3 linked regions of the Saccharomyces cerevisiae S288C genome follow. Changing the gene in region 3 together with the main gene of any one other region gives a genetic interaction. Each region holds a gene or a part of one and is shown on either strand. Other genes may lie near its edges. The genes, in order: FMP41, SCD5 and LDS1.

Region 1 (3,062 bases), on a different chromosome or scaffold from region 3:
GTCACAGTGAATGGAAGTATTGAAAACCACCCTCATGTTAATATAATGCACCCAACTGTAAATGGTACACCACTTACGCCGGGATTGAGTTCTCTGCTAAACTTACCATCTACTGGAGTTTTGGCTAATCCAGTATTCAAATCAACACCTACAACAAATACCACAGATGGTACCGTCAACAACAGCATCAGTAATTCCAATTTTTCCCCAAATACTTCAACGAAAGCGGCTGTCAAAATGGATAATCCGGCAGAGTTCAATGCCATCGAGCACTCCGCTCATAATCACAAGGAGAATGAAAATTTAACGACTCAAATTGAGAACAATGACCAGTTCAATAACAAAACACGAAAAAGAAAGAGAAGGATGTCTAGCACAAGTTCTACTTCTAAGGCTTCAAGAAAAAATTCCATATCAAGAAAAAACTCAGCAGTTACGACTGCACCAGCACAAAAAGATGATGTTGAAAATAATAAAATTTCAAACAACGTAACACTTGATGAGAATGAAGAGCAAGAAAGAAAAAGAAAGGAGTTTTTAGAAAGAAATAGAGTAGCTGCATCTAAATTTAGAAAAAGAAAGAAAGAGTACATCAAGAAAATTGAAAATGATCTACAATTCTATGAATCTGAATATGACGATCTAACTCAGGTCATTGGGAAGCTATGCGGCATAATACCCTCAAGCTCCTCGAATTCCCAATTCAATGTGAATGTTTCAACTCCGTCATCATCATCACCACCATCTACATCTTTAATAGCATTGTTAGAGAGTAGCATTTCAAGGAGTGATTATTCAAGTGCAATGTCAGTATTATCAAACATGAAGCAATTGATATGTGAAACGAATTTTTACCGAAGGGGAGGCAAAAACCCAAGGGACGACATGGATGGCCAAGAAGACAGCTTCAATAAGGACACTAACGTTGTCAAAAGCGAAAATGCGGGCTATCCTTCCGTTAATTCAAGACCAATAATTCTAGATAAAAAATACTCACTGAACTCTGGAGCAAATATCAGCAAAAGTAACACAACTACTAATAATGTGGGAAATAGTGCACAGAATATAATCAATTCATGCTACTCTGTTACTAATCCATTGGTAATAAATGCAAATTCCGATACCCATGATACTAATAAGCATGATGTACTATCCACTCTACCTCACAATAATTGACGAGATAGCGACGGGGTTCTTAAATAGTCTTCTATCTGATGCTTTCGTACTCTTCAACCTGTCCGCTTTTCTCATTGCAAATATTCCACTATAAAGTTCCTTTTAAGAGGAAATCCCTTTTATTCTCCCGCTTTTTTCTGTATTTATGTAACTTCAAGATTTTTTTTTCTATATTTGATATAAACTTTAATAGGGTTCTTCTTTTCAGAAGTTTATCAATTGCTTAAGCCTCCTTTTGTTGATCAACAACAATAAAGGCTTTATTATCGTAAATTTTCCTACAGCATTTATTCTTCATAGAGCATACCGTTATAATTTCACCGTCTTTTCACTACGCTCATAAAGAGAGTACAGTTATACTGCTGCAACCCTAGCATGTATCAAGCTGTGCTGCTTATACCTATTTTGAAAGGGCCATTCCTTCTTTTGCCATTCCTTTTTCGTCTATTTTCCTAAATAGCTTCCTTAGCCTCACGTTTTTTTGTTCGCTTTCAAGAGATGGTCACCGTTCTCTAACTGATAAGGAAAAACGTTTCAGCCAGAACTTCCTATATAGAAATATTCTGAAAGCTATCGAGTAAAGACTCAGGAAATTGCCAAAACGTTATGAGCTACAATTATTTGAAGGCAGCTAGAAAAATTATATGCATTGGGCGTAATTACGCAGCGCATATCAAAGAGCTGAACAATTCAACTCCAAAACAACCGTTTTTTTTCCTAAAACCAACCTCGAGTATTGTGACACCATTGTCTTCATCATTGGTCAAGACCACTAGACCTGCAAACTCGACTTTCAATGGTTTAAATGAAGACGGAACTAACCCCGGGCCCATTTTTATCCCACGCGGTGTGAAGGTTCATCACGAAATTGAGTTGGCATTGATTGTGAGCAAACATTTGTCCAATGTCACTAAGATGAAACCCGAAGAAGTCTATGACTCTATTAGTGGTGTAGCTCTAGCATTGGATCTTACAGCAAGAAATGTCCAAGATGAAGCCAAAAAGAAGGGGCTACCTTGGACTATAAGCAAGGGTTTTGACACCTTCATGCCAATCTCTGCTATAGTCTCCCGCGAGAAGTTCTCATCCTACAAATCAAACTTACAGGATATTTTCAGAGTCAAGTGCTCTGTTAACGGACAGTTGAGACAAGATGGTGGTACTAACCTCATGTTGCACCCACTCCATAAAATACTGCAACACATATCTACCATGATATCTCTGGAACCGGGTGATATCATTTTGACTGGTACACCTGCAGGTGTAGGCGAGTTAAAGCCTGGTGACCGTGTTCACTGTGAGCTATTGCAGAATAATGACAATATTGTCGACATGAACTTCGAATGTGAAAATCGGCCGGGACCATATGAATTTAGAGAAACATAATGTCTGTCGCATTCACGCTTGTCGCAGATAACACGTTATGCGTTACTAATTTCCTACAAGCTTGGCACATATACGACCAATTGTGCTTCTGTATACGCTACGCTATGTAATCACATATCACATGCAGGGTAACCAGCACCTTTTTGGTGTTTTTTCAAATCTCGAGGTCAAGGGACATCTAAAGCAGGCACAAGCATGTGGAAAATTTGTTCTTCACCTATAATATAAAACAGCTTACTCACAAAAGAGACGCCTAGAGGTACGTAGCGCTTTAAGGACTCTTCAGCCAGTTGTTAGCAGATCGCTCAAATCCTTCTTGGTCGTTATTTTTTGAAGAAGAAGGAAAAGCAAAGCCAGCATGTCAATTATGCCAGTTAAGAACGCCTTGGCGCAAGGGAGGACGCTCCTCATGGGGAGGATGCCTGCTGTAAAGTTTTCTACAAGAATGCAATTAAGAAATAGAACTGCGGTGCTATGGAATAGAAAGTTTTCCACGCGTC
Region 2 (4,786 bases), on a different chromosome or scaffold from region 3:
CGGTGTTCTGGCTACGCCAAATATTCTACCAAGATTCTGGATTTTTATGTATAGAGTATCGCCACTGACATACCTCATTGATGCTCTGCTATCGGTAGGACTGGCCAATGCTAGTGTCGTTTGTTCCAGCAACGAACTTTTAAAAATTGTTCCTCCAAGCGGTATGACATGCTCGGAATATATGGAACCTTATATGCAATCCACCGGGACGGGTTATCTGCTCGATGGGAGTTCCGAAACTGAATGTCACTTTTGTCAATTCAGTTCTACCAATGATTATCTGGCGACTGTGAGTTCTTCGTATTCACGTAGATGGATGAACTATGGCATTTTTAGTGCATATATTGTCTTTGACTATTGTGCAGCAATATTTTTATACTGGCTGGTGCGGGTTCCAAAGAAAAGCAAAAAATTAAAGAAATAATTAAATATTACTGGCTACATTCATTGTATATGCAAAATTAGTTAACTATTGTTCAGAGGTTTACGCCATGTTGCTAAATGTTTGGTGAAACTAAAAGACTAGCTCAATAATCAAGACAATAAATAATGCTAGTAAACAGGTGTTCATAAATTACATCACTTTTGTGACTTTATGTACACATATACCTACATATATTATCTTTCAAAACTATACACCTCGTTTAGCTTACGATACTATGGTCTCCTATTATATTGGATTTGTAAAGCATCGACTTGCTGCTGCAATGACTGCAAGTTACCCAAAATATCGCTTGAATTGGATCTATTAACATCTGCAGTGAATGGAAATTGCTGCTGCTGTTGCTGTTGCTGTTGATGAACTTGCTGCCCTAGCATTCCGTAATTAGGCTTGTTAGGTTGGCTATGTATATCACTGTTGTTTAAGTGAAGTTGCCCCGGATGTTGTTGCATTTGAGAAAGTTGGCCACCATATATTCGTTGTTGAGTTTGTTGTTGTTGTTGCTGCTGAATATACGTCTGATGAGATTGAGTATTGTTCATTGCCGCACTAGTATTTTGGAATGAACTTATGCCATTACTGGCGTTATTGCCATTAACAGTAGACGCATTTGATGGCGTAGGATTTGGAGATGGTGAAGAAGAAAGTAAAGATTGAAAGTAACTATTAGCAGCATTCTGAGGTGACAAAAAATTTGGAGATTGTATGCTTGGTGAATTTGTATAGGAGGGTTGGGTCGGCACCAAATTATTCTGCTTTTGCACGTTAGAGTACATATGTTGAGGTGGCACAATGGCCCCTTGTTGCTGCTGCTGAGCGCGTGGAGGTGGAGGAGGTGGAAGATGTTGGGGCTGCTGTTGATTATTAGTATACGTATTCTGGGGGGATATCATTGTTGCTTGATTATTGGAATAAGTATGTTGCGGAGAAAGAATGGGCTGATTTTGAGTGAAGGTATTTTGTGGAGATATCAATTGCGACCGTTGGTGCTGCGGGATCGTATTTTGAGGAGAAAGCAAATGCGATTGCTGATGTTGAGGAAGAGTGTTTTGAGGGGGGAATGCACCAGTTATTTCTACTTTCGGCATGGATACGATGTTACCATTATTAATCCGAACATTGTTAGAGTAGGTGTGTTGAGGCGATATGTTAGATGGTTCAATTTTCGCTTGAGTCGGATTAACCTCTTGGTAAGGTTGCTGTTGATTGCTTTGAGGAAGAGTAATGTTCGGAGAATTCAGAAATGCTGGTCCTGTACTTTGTGGAGATGAAGATTGGTTCGTAAATTGCGCCTGAAACATCGAAGATACTGGGTTATTAACTGAAGGTGAGATATGCTGTTTCATCAAGTAATTTGCAGAACCTGTGGCGGTAGGTTTCAAAGGTTGAAGTCCCCCAGAGTTTGTAACTGTTTCTGGTGTACTCGAAGGTTTGATAGACTGAGGTTGTTCCATATGACTTCGCATCAAATAATTTGCAGAGCCCGTTGCTGTTGGTTTTAAAGGTTGTAAACCTGTTTGGATGGCACCGTTGCTTGGATGCAACCCCTGATTATATTCTTCTCGCACCAGGTGATTAGCTGAACCTGTGGCGGTTGGCTTCAAAGGTTCTAACGGAAGTTGCTGTGGAACAGTGGTGTTATTCACATTGCTAGTTGGTAGAGTATTGCCATTCTGTAAAAATACCGATGAAATTGGCAATGAGGCAGAATCAACAGTCTGTATTTGTTTGAAATGGGACAAGGAATCCTTCATATCCTCCAAAACTTTCTTCTCCTCCTCAGTTTCTTGTTGTTCGCTGGGCAAACTCGAAACTAATCCGCTGTTTTTTCTCCGCTTATATAGCCTCTTTAATAATTGATCCATGGGCAATGTGAAATCCAAAGGACTGTCATTATTAGAATCCTGATCTTCATCTTCTGCATCAGGATCTTGCTTTCTTGCTTCACTATTATTAGATGATTCTTGATTGAGGTTTGGAGGGTCTTGAAATGTTATATGCTCTGAAAACCTAACCTTCTTACTCTTAAAATTCAAATTTTTGATTCTTCTCCTGACTCTTTTTCTCGTTGTCTTACCAGTCAACAGCAATGAAGCAAATGAGTCAAAATCGACCTTTTGATCACCAGTTTTGGCAGAACTATCATCGTCTTCCACCTCCTCGTACACCTCTTCGTGATTCTCACTACTTAGGATAGGACGTGGTTTGGGAACAGGTGCCTTTTCCAAGATCATGCGTCTTAGAGGTAAGATGCCATATATAATAGCTCTAGAAACTAATCTTAAAACAGCGAAAAATTGACCAATATTTAACGCATTTTTACAGCTACGGAAAATTTCCACAATTCTATCTTTTACTTTTTGTGATAAATTAAAATTGGTCAAGAACCTAAACACGTCGTTCAATCTTACTAGTTTTCCATGGGTTCTCAAACATATATAGTGGTACCATCTTAGATATGTCCTTATTTCTTCATGGGTAAGTTGGTTTTGTGATAAAGACAATGGGACTTGCATGTCTTCTGGTGACTCCGCGTACACATCGCCTCCAGAAAGTGTTCGTACCTCCCCATTAGGTGGATTATCCTTTTGAGGAGAGCTCACGTTAGTGGCATTATCAGCTGCTGTATTTGAGTGATTATTTCTGTAAGACAAAGTTGTATCACTGTGACTTCTTGATCCCTGATCCCAAAAGCTGGAATCATGTGGAGCAGCAGTATTTATACCAAAATCAAAAGACACACTGGGTGGTCCTAATCCATTCGATGGCCTCTTTTCTGCTTGGTCCCCGCTGCTTAAGTCCAATCCCGGAACATTAAGCCAATCAAACGACATGTTTCGTTACCATGTAAAATTTATCGAGCCTGCAATGATCTATAAAATCTTAGCTAACGAGAAGATGCAGATAATTTGGGTTTTGAATTCCTATTTTGAATTCTACCTTTTGTTTTGTCCCCGTTTCCTAATGTTAACTCTTTTTCTAATAGGGGCAACTTACTTTTGTTTTCTCATTTGGCGAAAAAAAGTAAGTAGAAATAAATAAAAAAATAATATTATAATGTGCTGTATATATAAATACAAATGCGAAAGCTAATGCAGATTTTGCCTAGTACTCTCTAGAAATAGTAATGTCCCTTTCCAGCTCAACCAAATTTCTATTTGTAGTGCTTGACTTCCTTGCCGGCAATTTTTTGGAATGTACTGCTTTCGCAGTCTTTCTTATTGGCGATGATGATGCCGTTCTTGCTTGTGATGGTTTCTTTTTATAATTAGATTTGTCGTTCAGAACGTCGTCAATCACTCCATCTATAGGAATATTAAAGAATTGTTTTTCTGTCTCCAAAGTATAGTCTAACGGTTTATTTGCACATTCATAGAACGCTTCAAATGCCTTCCTGCCACCATACACTCTTTTGTACTTCCTTTCCATAGGCGTGGTATTCTTTTTTCTGGTTAATTTTTTCTTATTTTCGTCATCTATCCTGTTTTCCTTCTTTCTCCTGTTCTCCAGCAATTGCTTTTCTGGGATTGCTGAATCGTTAGCAATTTTATGAAGTGTGGGATAATCTGGCATATTGACAGGTAATCTGATTCGTTGATCAGCTTTGGCATTTTTGGTACCATCTAAAAAATTGGATCCCATAATACGTACTTTAGTCCTTTTGCCCTTCTCGACATCCTTTATATAGTCTAGGAGGCTGTACTCTGCAGTGTTCCCATCTCTAGCGTATTCTTTGGATGTACACTCCCGCAGATACTCATCTTCTAGCCGATTCACATCGCGCTTATCTGACTGGACTTGCATCGCAAGAAAATATTTTAAGAACTCTGGAGTATAAGATTTATTATATTCTTCAAATACAGGTTCTCTGTAGTTATAGGCATATTGTGATACTTTGCTGTCGATATCGAGATTTGGTTTACCCAATTTACTATTGGATTTGTCTAGCAGTTGATTGATATCAAGCGCCTCCCCATGAGGAATGGCGGTTTTGTTCGAGGGGGTTATGCAGTCCATATTGACTTCTTTACGTATGACAGAATCAATATCTACTTGCGAGAAAAAGGCACAGTTTTGCGGTAATTCATTTATCCCCATTTGCTGGCAAAACATTGCTCTCGTCCATATGTTGCTGATTTGCAAAGCCATAGCAGCTCTGTATTTGTCCTTTTCGCTCACCAAAAATCTAATCTCATCATGGATGGAAATGCAAAGCCTTGCCTCAAGGTTATATTTCTTAATAATATATTCCATGGAGCAACAAAGAAGATGTAGATAATCCACTCCAGATGACTGGATGGCCCAATTGATTCTTGAAGGTAGAAAGGAATTCGCCCTCAGATT
Region 3 (3,579 bases):
ATCAACAAAGGCAGGTGGATTCGGTATTAATTTGGTGTGCGCAAATAATGTTATTATATTCGATCAAAGTTTTAACCCACATGATGACAGACAAGCTGCTGATAGGGCACATCGTGTGGGACAAACAAAGGAAGTTAATATAACCACTTTAATTACTAAGGATTCCATAGAGGAAAAGATTCATCAACTGGCCAAAAATAAACTAGCTTTAGATTCGTATATCAGTGAAGATAAAAAATCTCAAGATGTGTTGGAAAGTAAAGTTAGTGATATGTTGGAGGATATAATTTATGATGAAAACTCGAAACCGAAGGGAACCAAAGAATAAATAAATAAAAATATAGTAAAAAAGTAAATAGATAAGCAGAAAATAAACCAAAAAAATAACATATTTATTTTCTTCTGCGTGAACGCACCATGTGGAAAAAGAGAGTTGATAGAACAAAGGACAAAGAAATTTAGAACGGTAAAAATATTTTCTAGAGTATAATATACATATATGTGTATATATACATAGGTTAGTATGTATAGCTAGGTAATTTTAATCTGGGGAGAGAAATGGTGAACTTTTTTCAATTTATTGATTCGGTTGTTGATTGATATCTTGTGGTGCTGCTTCAATTTCAGCTTGAGTTTCTACTAAATTTTCAGGGACCATTGGATGATCAAGGTTAAATAAAACGCTACCAATAGTATTTGTAGAAATGGCAAAGCCCGCTAAAATGGGCACGGACTCAATCAAACCGGCCAAGAAACCAAATGAGGCATATTGGCCAGCGTGGAGATAAATATTTTCACGTCTTTGTATGTTGTCGAAATTTTGTAAACGTAAAACTTTCGTGAAGTAAATTTGAGTGATGAAAGGAGAAATTAAAATATGAAAAAGGATTGGTCCAATAAGTGGGAAAAAAGATATAACCAACAGCACAAAAAGAACCGACAGGCCTAACATGTACTTGACCAACTTGAATGGGAAATAGTAAGCCCAGAAATATATCGAGTTAATAGGTGCATAGTACTTGATTGGTTTGACTTCACTCAAATTCTCCTCTAAACCATTCTTCTCTAAGCACACCTCCACTAAATGATTATTAAAATGACTGAGTCTCATAAACAATAAAGTGAAAACATTTGCTTGCAAAAAGGAATGAAAAATGGCAATGAAAAGCCCAATAGGGCCCAGCACAATCAAAAAAGCTGTGTACATTGGCGTAATTGTAGCCCAATACACAAAGCTTACCAGGGCAAACATTATCAAGTAACTCGATAATATACCTAACATAGTCGTTGAGTAACTGCTCTTATTGGTGTTGAACTCTAAAAACCCTTTGAACGGGTACATGAATGCACCTCCTGTGAATGCATCTTTGAAAAAGTTCATTAGCACGTATCTGGTACGGCTCATAACTTTGCTGAAGTGCTTCTTGTAAACTTTATCCAAGTACTGATTGAAGGGGATGTTGACATATGGCAGTTTTTCATACGATTGGCCTCCGCCAAACTTGTACACCAAACCACCAATACCTGCCAGCGCTAATGAACCTGTAAAACTCATTTCCTGTTGTTGTTATTGTTTGTATAATGTACCTTTGTTCCCTACACTATAACAACACTTATTCGTGGCAAGAACGAAAATAAAAAATGATTTGAAACTTCCTTTTCCACATCTATATCTATATATATATGTATATGTATAATACTTATTACTATGATATTATTCCATGTGTCACAAAACCAGAAAGATCCCGTCGTATTATTGAGTCACGTGCTTTATTCCATGGCGGGTAATAAATATTAAAACAAGGGTTTTTTAAGTAAATGATTACATGCTAAGGAAGTGGTGAATAAGATTTGGCAAGGGGCAGGTCGCTAACCACAACATAGCATTCGTTGAAAAGGAAATCAACGTTACAAAGTGCAGTTTTTTGTATTATTTTCCTATTATCCTCTTCTTTTCCTTTGTTTCAGGCGTCGTTGCACCTTTTTGCTATACAAAAGCTCATAAAAGATTAGAAACCCCGGATATCGTCACAACAGCGGTATATTATAGTTATTTTGCATCTTTTTGGTAAGTCAGAAATTAGAAACAGTAGCTTACCAATTGAGTGAAAGTTTCCGTTCGTCATCTCCCTCTTTTGTTTTTTTTCACCTTTGTTTTTCTGTTTCTTCTATTTTTGTTTTGTTTTGTTTTGTTTTGTTCTCTCCCTAATTTGCATATAGGTAAACATCAAAGAAGTAATGCCCTACATCGGTGCTTCCAACCTCTCAGAACATTCATTTGTTAATTTGAAGGAAAAACATGCGATTACACATAAAGGTACGAGCAGTTCTGTAGCATCTTTGCAGACACCACCGAGCCCCGATCAAGAGAACCATATTGACAATGAATTAGAAAATTACGATACGTCTTTAAGTGACGTTTCAACCCCGAATAAAAAGGAAGGTGATGAGTTCGAGCAAAGTTTAAGAGATACATTTGCGAGCTTTCGGAAGACTAAACCCCCACCTCCTTTAGATTTTGAACAACCAAGACTTCCTTCGACAGCTTCTTCATCCGTTGATTCAACCGTATCATCGCCCTTAACGGATGAAGACATAAAGGAGTTAGAGTTTCTTCCGAATGAATCAACTCATTCTTATTCGTACAATCCACTTTCGCCAAATTCCCTGGCAGTCAGATTGAGGATTTTGAAGAGATCATTGGAAATCATAATACAAAACCCAAGTATGCTACTGGAGCCTACTCCAGATGATTTGCCTCCTTTGAAAGAGTTTGCGGGCCGTAGGAGCAGTTTACCAAGGACATCGGCTTCTGCAAACCATTTAATGAACAGAAATAAGAGCCAGATTTGGAACACTACTTCCGCTACTTTAAATGCATTTGTAAATAATACCTCTTCCTCCTCAGCAGCATCTTCTGCTTTATCTAACAAAAAACCGGGCACCCCAGTTTTCCCTAATTTGGATCCAACACATTCTCAAACATTCCATAGAGCCAACTCGTTGGCTTATTTACCTTCCATCTTACCTGAGCAAGATCCGCTGCTCAAACATAATAATTCTTTATTTCGTGGCGACTATGGAAACAACATAAGTCCTGAAAGGCCAAGTTTTAGACAACCCTTCAAGGATCAAACTAGCAATCTCCGCAATAGCAGTTTACTCAATGAGAGGGCATATCAGGAAGATGAAACTTTTTTACCGCACCATGGACCCTCTATGGATCTATTGAATGAACAAAGAGCGAACTTGAAAAGTCTTCTGAATTTATTAAACGAAACACTGGAGAAAAATACTTCCGAGAGAGCTTCGGATCTTCATATGATATCGTTGTTCAATTTGAATAAACTAATGCTTGGAGATCCCAAGAAAAATAATTCAGAACGCGATAAAAGAACTGAAAAGCTTAAAAAGATTTTGCTGGATAGTCTTGCAGAACCATTCTTTGAGCACTATAATTTTATTGGAGATAATCCGATCGCAGATACAGATGAACTAAAGGAGGAAATTGATGAATTTACAGGTTCTGGAGATACGACAGCGATAACAGATATACGGCCCCAACAGGACTATGGCCGC

The links.
Region 1: mutations in LDS1 (region 3) and FMP41 together harm fitness more than expected from each alone (negative genetic interaction), as found in Saccharomyces cerevisiae (one large-scale study listed by BioGRID).
Region 2: mutations in LDS1 (region 3) and SCD5 together harm fitness more than expected from each alone (negative genetic interaction), as found in Saccharomyces cerevisiae (one large-scale study listed by BioGRID).

Annotation. Positions count from the first base shown.
Region 1 is NC_001146.8:317,530-320,591, reverse strand, and holds FMP41 (Fmp41p), read left to right. Parts: upstream 1-1,782; coding exon 1,783-2,562; downstream 2,563-3,062. Other genes in the region: SKO1 (Sko1p), read left to right, coding at 1-1,176; PSD1 (phosphatidylserine decarboxylase 1), read left to right, coding at 2,921-3,062. UniProt on the Saccharomyces cerevisiae protein: Tautomerase that converts enol-oxaloacetate, a strong inhibitor of succinate dehydrogenase, to the physiological keto form of oxaloacetate.
Region 2 is NC_001147.6:936,074-940,859, forward strand, and holds SCD5 (Scd5p), read right to left. Parts: upstream 3,277-4,786; coding exon 658-3,276; downstream 1-657. Other genes in the region: ATP-binding cassette multidrug transporter PDR10, read left to right, coding at 1-424; DNA-directed DNA polymerase gamma MIP1, read right to left, coding at 3,548-4,786. UniProt on the Saccharomyces cerevisiae protein: Regulates both fluid phase and receptor-mediated endocytosis. Involved in vesicular transport at a late stage of the secretory pathway. Regulates actin cytoskeleton organization.
Region 3 is NC_001133.9:117,987-121,565, forward strand, and holds LDS1 (Lds1p), read right to left. Parts: upstream 1,556-3,579; coding exon 578-1,555; downstream 1-577. Other genes in the region: DNA-dependent ATPase FUN30, read left to right, coding at 1-328; serine/threonine protein kinase PSK1, read left to right, coding at 2,239-3,579. UniProt on the Saccharomyces cerevisiae protein: Involved in spore wall assembly.